2 linked regions of the Mus musculus genome follow. Each later gene encodes a partner of the first gene's protein in a complex. Links are inferred from orthologs where the notes say so. Each region holds a gene or a part of one and is shown on either strand. Other genes may lie near its edges.

The links.
Region 2: the proteins of Cast (region 1) and Capns1 are in contact, whole or in part, in a crystal structure (PDB 3BOW), measured with the Rattus norvegicus proteins. The link is inferred for Mus musculus from reciprocal best matches to the Homo sapiens genes CAST and CAPNS1. Residues at the interface, in NP_445747.2 of Rattus norvegicus: Pro652, Ile653, Asp654, Ala655, Leu656, Ser657, Asp659, Leu660, Asp661; in NP_058814.1 of Rattus norvegicus: Phe103, Leu106, Gln109, Leu110, Ile125, Lys128, Val129, Arg132, His133, Leu136, Phe166, Trp170, Lys174, Gln177, Lys181.

What each region holds. Positions count from the first base shown.
Region 1 is NC_000079.6:74,738,200-74,742,013, forward strand, and holds part of Cast (calpastatin), read right to left. Parts: intron 3,219-3,814; coding exon 3,150-3,218; intron 1,737-3,149; coding exon 1,638-1,736; intron 100-1,637; coding exon 19-99; intron 1-18.
Region 2 is NC_000073.6:30,192,106-30,196,687, forward strand, and holds the start of Capns1 (calpain small subunit 1), read right to left. Parts: upstream 3,049-4,582; 5' UTR 2,901-3,048; intron 1,997-2,900; 5' UTR 1,982-1,996; coding exon 1,773-1,981; intron 1,644-1,772; exon of another isoform or gene 1,142-1,643; intron 1,096-1,141; exon of another isoform or gene 983-1,095; coding exon of another isoform or gene 939-982; intron 796-938; coding exon 762-795; intron 488-761; coding exon 398-487; intron 273-397; coding exon 215-272; intron 122-214; coding exon 57-121; intron 1-56. UniProt on the Homo sapiens protein: Regulatory subunit of the calcium-regulated non-lysosomal thiol-protease which catalyzes limited proteolysis of substrates involved in cytoskeletal remodeling and signal transduction. Essential for embryonic development.

The sequences.
Region 1 (3,814 bases):
AAATGAAAGATAACTTACTTCCAAAAGTTTCCTATACTCTGGAGGAATAGTCCCTTCTTTTATACCCAGTGCCTCAAGGTAGGTAGAATACATTGGGTCCTGGAAGAAAATCATACATAAAGACATATTATACAGTTAATCTAATGAGACTATTAAGTGAAGCCAAAGTACTATTCCAGTATTGATTTTTCTGTATCTATTGAGATGAAAATAAATCATTTAGAAGCTAAAATCTATCCTTAAAGTTCTACTTGCATACTAACAATTATTTAATTAGCTTTAGAGATAGCATCTGCACTTTAAGTCTATCATCTCTATCATTTTCTATTGAATTACCTTTTCTCAGTATTTTTTTATTTTTCATAAACTGTAGAAGTAAATGCTTTGTAACTTTAAAAAATATTTTCATTTATCCTGTGGTTTATTTTTAATACTGTGGTACATGTAATTTTATCACTGAATTCAAGCTGAAGAGGAGACTATATATATATGTGTGTATATATATATATTTTTTTTGTTGTTGTTGTTTTCAAGACAGGGTTTCTCTGTGTAGTCCTGGCTGTCCTGGAACTCACTTTGTAGACCAGGCTGGCCTCGAACTCAGAAATCCTCCTGCCTCTGCCTCCCAAGTGCTGAGATTAAAGGCGTGCACCACCACCACCCGGCTGAGAATATTTTAATATTTAAAAATATTGCAAATGTAGAAATGTATAAGCAAAATATATTATAACTTTGCATGTTTTCAAAAGCTATATAAATAGTATCATTTTGTTGCTCTTGTTTATTTTATTCAAAATCATGGCTTTGTAATAGATCCATGTAGATACATAAGTAAGCCATTTTCCTTTCAGAAAGCACTGAAAGCTCCCTATTTTCTATTGATCACATTCCTATTTTCTATTGATCACATTGGTCTCAAGTGTTCTGCCATATCCTTCGCTGTACACAGGGGCAAGATTTCCAAAGTCTCGCTGGTGGGGTTTGTGACTGAACGGAACACCTCTTTAGAACCTAATGCCTAAATTGACCTGTCAGATTCTTAAAGTTTTGGCAGTCTGGTTGAGCCAAAGGCACCACGCCATGCTTTATGCTATTTTCCTAATTCCCTGGTAGACCCTTACACTATTTGCTCATTGTGCAAGCAACTTTCTCTTAATTTTCTACTGAGTTGTCTTTGTCTCTGTTTTTCTATTTATTGTAAACTATAGAAACAACTTTAATGGCAACTGTTGAAAATGTTTTCATCTATGCTACAACATCTTTAACACCAGAAAAAAAATTACATTGTTCCTTGGAAATGAAGAATAGATTAACTTAGGATCATAAGGATCTAAAACTCAAAATAAGTTCAAGTCCACTGCGTCAAATCTAAAGGACAGAAAACTAGATGTTCTGACCGAGTCAGCTGTTCCAGTTTAGCATTGTCAGACATATTCTGAATCATAGCAACTGTGTAGTGTCACAAAGCAGACCATTTCCACCCTCACCCCCGAGTTTTTGTTTCTAATATCAATTCTGACATCATCCTGCGTCTACATAATCAACAGAACATGACATGCAGTCCTATGCTTGATACCATAGGTTTATTTGCTTTCCTCCCCATTAACAATGAATGCTGACTGTCATCCAACACATACCAAAACTACTGGTCCAGTATATGGTGGATCATCTCTGTTAGTATCTTCATGTCCACCTAAGGTGTCTATCAGGTCATCCAAGGCAGCATCCATGCCTGACTAGAAATAGAAGAGATAAGATATGTTATTTTGTAGATATATTTCCCGTGATTTGTAACTACTAAAATGTATCAAATACTGTAACTTTTCCAAGTTCAAAAATAGTTAAACTGTATTTCATTTTTAATATGAAGAAATTCTCAATTGGAAAAATAAAAAGCCACATTCAGGTAAAGATCACCATTTAAAAAAATTCCACATTATTAACTACAGCAACAAATGTAGTAGTTCACAAAAGCAACCAAACCACTGTACTGACAGTCAAGAGGAAAAAGACAAAAAAAATGCAAGGATTAGCCATGTGGCACTTGTTGCTTTTTAGTATCACCCATAGTTTCATTCTAGCAAAATCTGTAGACAGTACTTCCTTCAAAAAGAAGCTATTGTTTTTTTTTTTAATTCTTGTATTTTTCCATTCTTTAATGAACATTGTTGTTGTTCATTGACTTGCTCAAAGACAACCCTGAAGAGATATTATGTGAGGTCAACCCTAAAGACATATGAATTGCCAGTTTAGTTTGCCAACATATACTTAACATATTAATGAGAAGTTGCTGTCACCTTATTCTGTAGTTTTGGATAGCTCACTCGGAACAGGCTCCTAACATGGAAAACAGCCACTGTCTTCTCACCTTGGGCATCTTTTCTGCTGTTTCCAATAGCACAGACTCTGTATGTTCCTGACTTATGACCTGTACGGCACTTACTCCACACGTCAAAGTGTCACTGAATATGTCTGACGGTTTCCTTTAAGAATTACCACACTGTATATGCCCCAGTACAGGGGAACGCCAGGGCCAAAAAAAATGGGAATGGGTGGGTAGGGAAGTGGGTTGGGGAGGGTATGGGGGACTTTTGGGATAGCATTGGAAATGTAATTGAGGAAAATATGTAATAATAAAAAAAAAAGAATTACCACAATCCTACAATAGTTTTAGGATTTAGCGGATTACTGATAGGTGTAACAGAAACTAGGGCACATTTGCTTTGGCTACTCTTCCCCTTCTTATTATTATTGTGGTTTCTTGTGGAAGAGGGGATAGATTTTTTTTTAAAGTACCTTATATTCTTTACCAATAGAGAGGTAATACAGAATACTTAGACAACCCTTGATGTCCCCACTCTAAAACCAAGAGACTTGCCAAGCCTCAAGAAACCTTGCACGTTGCTAACAAACACATATTTCCAGAAGAGAAGCTATAACTGAACTTGGTATAATAAAACTAGAATTTTCAAAATAGAGGCTCGTACCATAAAATGGTACGAATACAGAGTGATGGCCACACTGTCAACTCAGTCATAACTTTTTAAATTTTAAGTCATTACATTTTTCCTTTAAAACAACGAGAAATCAGGCTGAGACAGGCAACAGGAGATAAATGTTTGATGATGAAGTGCCTTTTGGCTCCATACCTTGTCAGATGGCTTGCTCGGTGTGGACTGCACAGGTGAAGCTGGTGTGAATGGTTTCTGTTCTTTTTTCTAGAGGGAGTTTAAAAGGACTTTAAAACTTTTCATACACCTTTATGAAACAGCATTATGACACACACATTCAAGATGAACTATTCATGTATTAATAGCCTAGATCATGTACTAGTCCCATGATCAACTGTGGACGGTAATGGCAAATGCTTCAAAACTACTACATACATTAAGCCTGTTTAGTGACAGGAAAGAGAAGCTTAGAGAGATCCGGCTCATGGAGGAAAATAAAGTGATAGATTGGTTTAAGTACATAATAAGTCCAAGGAAAGATATGAAGAAGGCAATTAAAATGTTGTTTGGTATATGGAAAAGATGGAGGTTGAAGAGAAGGGAGAAGAGGGGAGGGAAGGGAGGCAGAAGAGGCTAGGAAGGGAAAGATGGAGAGGAGAATAGGAAGGAAAGTAGTGGAGATGAGGTGACTCCCTGGGTTACAGAGGAAGGGATAAAACCCTGATCTGCACCAGGATTGCCTGGCCACCATACTTGTCCCGGGCCTTGAAAGCCTACAAGTTGTTTCTGAGGTAGCTTCTGTTCCCTGCGTCTTTGTTTCTGCTCACCAGGACAACTGTGTCACTTGCCTTGGTAGCTCATTG
Region 2 (4,582 bases), on another chromosome or scaffold:
TTCCCAGAAGACCCTCTTCACCCAAGGCATTCTCCAGGCTGGCCCCAAAAGGATACATCCATGACGGCCACCATGCTCCGACAAGTGTCAATGCCAAAACCATCAGTTTTCAGATCCGGGTCTGAGGGGGGAACAGGTTGAAGGTCAGAGGTCAGAGACCATCCCAGCCCATATGCCTCTAAACCTTCACCACACTCTGACCCTGGTCACTCACGTCGGGTCACGACCTTGTTGAGGATATTCATGAGTTCTGTGGCGCTGACCTCCATGTCCTGACGGCAGAAGGTAAGTACAGTTCAAGGGAGATGGAAAGGGTCTGGAGACCATAAACCGGGATGGGAACTTCCGGGTTGTCACAGTCAAGTGACAGAGTCAAGCGGTCAGGCAGGATACTTACGTCTCCAGCCAGCTGGACAAAAAGTTTCCTGAACTGACGGACTTCTTCACTCTCGTTGGCCTCAATATTGGAGTAATGACTACGTGGAGGCTGCAGAGAGAGGCGATCTCAGAACAGAGATGGAGAAACAAGTGTCCCAGGGAAAAGTCAGAGAGGGCTGGGCAGTCTGAGGGCCAGGGAACCTGAATTAGGTGTAGCAAGTAGGCGTGGCTGAGACCCAGGGTTTAGCTTAGGGGCCCTCAAAAAAATGACATTATTAACGGCAGGGGGTTTCCTAAGGAAGGAGGGGGAGCCTTATTCATAGGAATGGGGAAGATGAGGCGGGCAACAGGCCTGAGGAGGAAGGGTCTCTAGGTCTGCTTACCGGAGGCTCCGGGTTGTACTGCGCAGCAGCCTCGCTGAGGGGAGACAAGGGGGCTGAGTTAGCGCATGGGGGCAGAGCCTCCAACGGGCGGCAGAACGGTCAGCCAACCCCTGAAACTCCAGCCCTCCTCTTCCTTAAGGGGTTCCCTCCTCCCCTCGTCTACCTCATCGTCCTGACCTGGTCCAATCAAGAGAATGGTCTGACCCCTCCTTTCCCTCCATCGGGCCAACCTCTCCCACCTCCCAAGGGCCCACCCCACGGAAGAATCCTTTCCTTGCCCAGGAACACCCACCAATCACAATGTCAGAAGCATCTTAGCCCCAATCAAAATCCTGAAAACCTTAACAAACTTAGCAGGGCCCGCCCCTTGAAGAACTCACTTCACAAGGGGGTCTGTCTGCACCAGCTTTCCTAGGCCTCATCTTCCTCGGGTTCAGTTGTCCAGAGTCTTACTCCATCGCTCCTTTTGCAGATTATCTAACTGCCTAACGTCTACCTCTCCCGCCCCCCATCAGCCCCTACTCCTCCCAGGGATCAGTGCTTGGATCACCAACGATATAGGTGCCAGCCACCTGTTCTAACCCCAGCAAAGGATTTTTACCCACTAAACCAATCAGCTCCAGACCCCACACAACCTTCTCTGGACCATTTCTTCTTTGGGGACTCTGATCTCTCCTAAAACAGCAAGCTCCACCTCGCTCAAATCTTAAGCCATGGACAGCCTTAGATCCACTGGCTGCGCCCCCAGTGAAGGCTGGATACAATCCTATAGAATTGCACCTTCCCCAAACACAGAAGAGCCCCTATCCCCAAGAAACTGCATCCTATTTGTTGACCCACAGAAGCAGGTTTACTAATCCTGGTACTAAAAAGTGACACCAGCCTCGCTAGAATCCCCTTAGGGCCAGTTTTCCGGTATGGATCAGCCCAGACTAATTAAGAATTCTCAGGTCGGACTCTAAGTGAGTCTTTATTATTTGGCCCGCCCCGCCCCTTCAGGCCCCGCCTTACCTGATGGCGCTAATGACTCCGCCCAGGATGCGCATGGCAGTTCCACCGCCTCCGCCACCTCCTCCCAGTCCCATGCCTCCACCGCCACCGCCGCCGCCGCCAGCAGCTCCGCTGATCAGGCCTCCGAGCACATTCCCCAGGCCCCCGCCCAGACCCCCGCCTCCCCCACCGCCACCGCCGCCCTTCAAGAACGAATTCACCAAGAACATGATCGCAGCTGAGTCCTGTAAAGTAAAAGGGGTGGGTCGGGTAGTGGCCTTGCCAGGAGCCCAGCCCTTCCCGCAAAAAAAAAAAAAAAAAAAAAAAAAAAAGCAAGCATTTCCGGCAACTAGATTGGGGAGGAAACTAAGGCCTCGAGATGGGGACAGAGCCTCTAGCTAGGGGTCTGGACAGGTGATAGGAGATGTGAAACCTCCTAGGGTCTAGAAAGTACCCTGGCCCAGGCTTGACTGCATATATATAGGCATGAGGACAGGGGTACAGCTGGGCGTGCGTGGTAGCGCTCTACTGTAATCCCAGAAATTGGGAGGCTGAGGCTGGAGGACCAGTTCAAGGCCAGCCTCGGCTACAGCGCCTGCCTGCTTTACCCTGTCTTGAGGCAGCGGGAAAACAGGGGATTCTCGTGTAGAAACCCTAAGGTGTGTAAAACCGAACGTGTCTCAGATCCAGGCCTTCCAAAATTAAGCTCAGGGTAGGGATGACCCAGGGCTGACCAGGAAGTTCCTAATGTGGATTAAGACATTCAGATACTCTCGACAGAGGGACTACACTGTCACTACGGGATCTGTGGGCTCCGGCCAAAAATTATGGCTGTGCGCCCGGAGGATCCTGGATAACGGAGTTCTTCCCACCGCAAATGGGAACCACGATCTCGGATTGTGGTTCTAGACGCCCAAAATAATTTCCGGGTATCTCTCTGATCTTTGGGCTTATATTTTTTGGTCGTCAGATCCGGGATGGTAAGGAGTGTTCTGGAGGGGCTGACAGGCCCGATGGTTCGAATCTGAGAACACCGGTCCTAGGACCCCCCAAGGGCCAAGACTTTAGGGTCTCGCCAGATCTGAGGACTACGGATTCCGGATCTACAGGGTGCAGGGGTGCTGGACTGGAGTGTCCCGTCTCACTTACGGATCCGGCGGTCCGCGGTCTTGCTCGCCTGCTGCAGGGCCTCCGCTGTGTCCGGTTCGGGAGGGCGGGGCCGGTGACTCAGGCAGCTACTCCGGGTTAGACCCTGCCGCCACCCAGCCGTCGTCTGCGCGGTCCTAGAGCCTCCATTGCAGACTGCGCCTGCGCGGGAGGGTTATGGTTGCAAGTCTCTGCTTAGCTCATCCGTCCCCATACACACACTGCTGGAAATTCAACGCTGTCCAGATTAAATAGCTTTGAGTACGAATAAATTATTCTAACGCCCAGGTACTGGAGCCTCCAGGAACTAGATACAGGGTACCCGGTCACCGTTGCAGTATATAGTTGCAAAAAAGGACTTCAGTTGTCATTCATTCATTCATTCATTGTGCACTTTGAGACAGAGGTTTGTTAAACATCCTCTAAATGATGACCTAAAGCCCTAGCTAACCTCGAACTTGAAACAATCCTCCTGCTTCTGTTTCCCGAATGCTAGGAATCTACATCTTAAGTTTACCATCAGTTTGTGCCTCTCACCCAGGTCGCTGTTGGGCTTCTAGTCTGGCTGTCTGGCCACTCCCTAGGAACTATATAAACCTCGGTTTGAGTCTTTATTGCTCATCCCTAAAACAGTGACCTGGTGTCTCTGAGTAATGACCTCCTCATGTGTAAGGCGGGAACATAGCCAGGCGTGATGACACACACCTGTAAAACCAGCACTGGGAGGTGAGGGCAGGCAGCCATTCTCAGTACATAACAAGTTTGTGACCGGCTTGGGCTACATGAGACCCTAGAGGACACTAGGGTAAGCCCCTATCAGAATTAAGTGATAAATACATAGTAAATGGCAGCTCTTCTGTTAGTCCCTATGTCGCCATGTTGTTCCCTCAGCTGGGAGCTCACCTGGTTCCCTTAGCTCGTTTACTCTTGCTCATCCTTAAACAACATCGACAAATACCTGCCGGTCCCTAAATACTCTCCACTCACTAGGTTGTGTGTCCTCGAAGCAGGCCTGTGGGATAGGTCTGTTATTGTCCCCATTCTATGTATAAGTAAACTGAGGTTAAACAACCAGTCTGCTTTACCTGTTCAAAGAATCTCCGATAACTTAATATGATAATCAGTCAAATAAGATCTCAGCAGACAAGACCGTAATTGCACTAACGCCACCTAAGGGCTTGCTGGGACCAGGCCAGGTAATCATTGCTCAAACCTGTGTGTGTGTGTGTGTGTGTGTGTGTGTGTGTGTGTGTGTGTGTGTGTGTGAAGCAAGATTTAACCTGTCGAAACCGGAAACTCTAAAAGGCGGGAGCACAGAGGGTGGCGACCCAGGCCTAAGCCTTAGCGGATAAATCATTTGGTGATGACTAATGTGGATTCCCTCTCTGCCACACCCCTCCCTGCCACACTGAGCAGTCTGACCTCAGGCTCAACTCGCTGGCATAAGCCCTGTCCTCTGCCTACAAATACTCCTGTGTTTGGACTTGACTGTCTGTGTCCTCCACTTTGGACCAGAGCTCAGACATCTCTCATTTGGGAAGACCTCTTTGTCCTCACATCCACCCAAGGCTTGAAGAGGCTGCCAGCTTCATGCCCTCAGACCAACAGTAAACATGATGACACATGCCCAGGCCTCAGAAGACTCAGGCAGGCGAGCTACACCACAGGGTCTTATCTCAAAACAA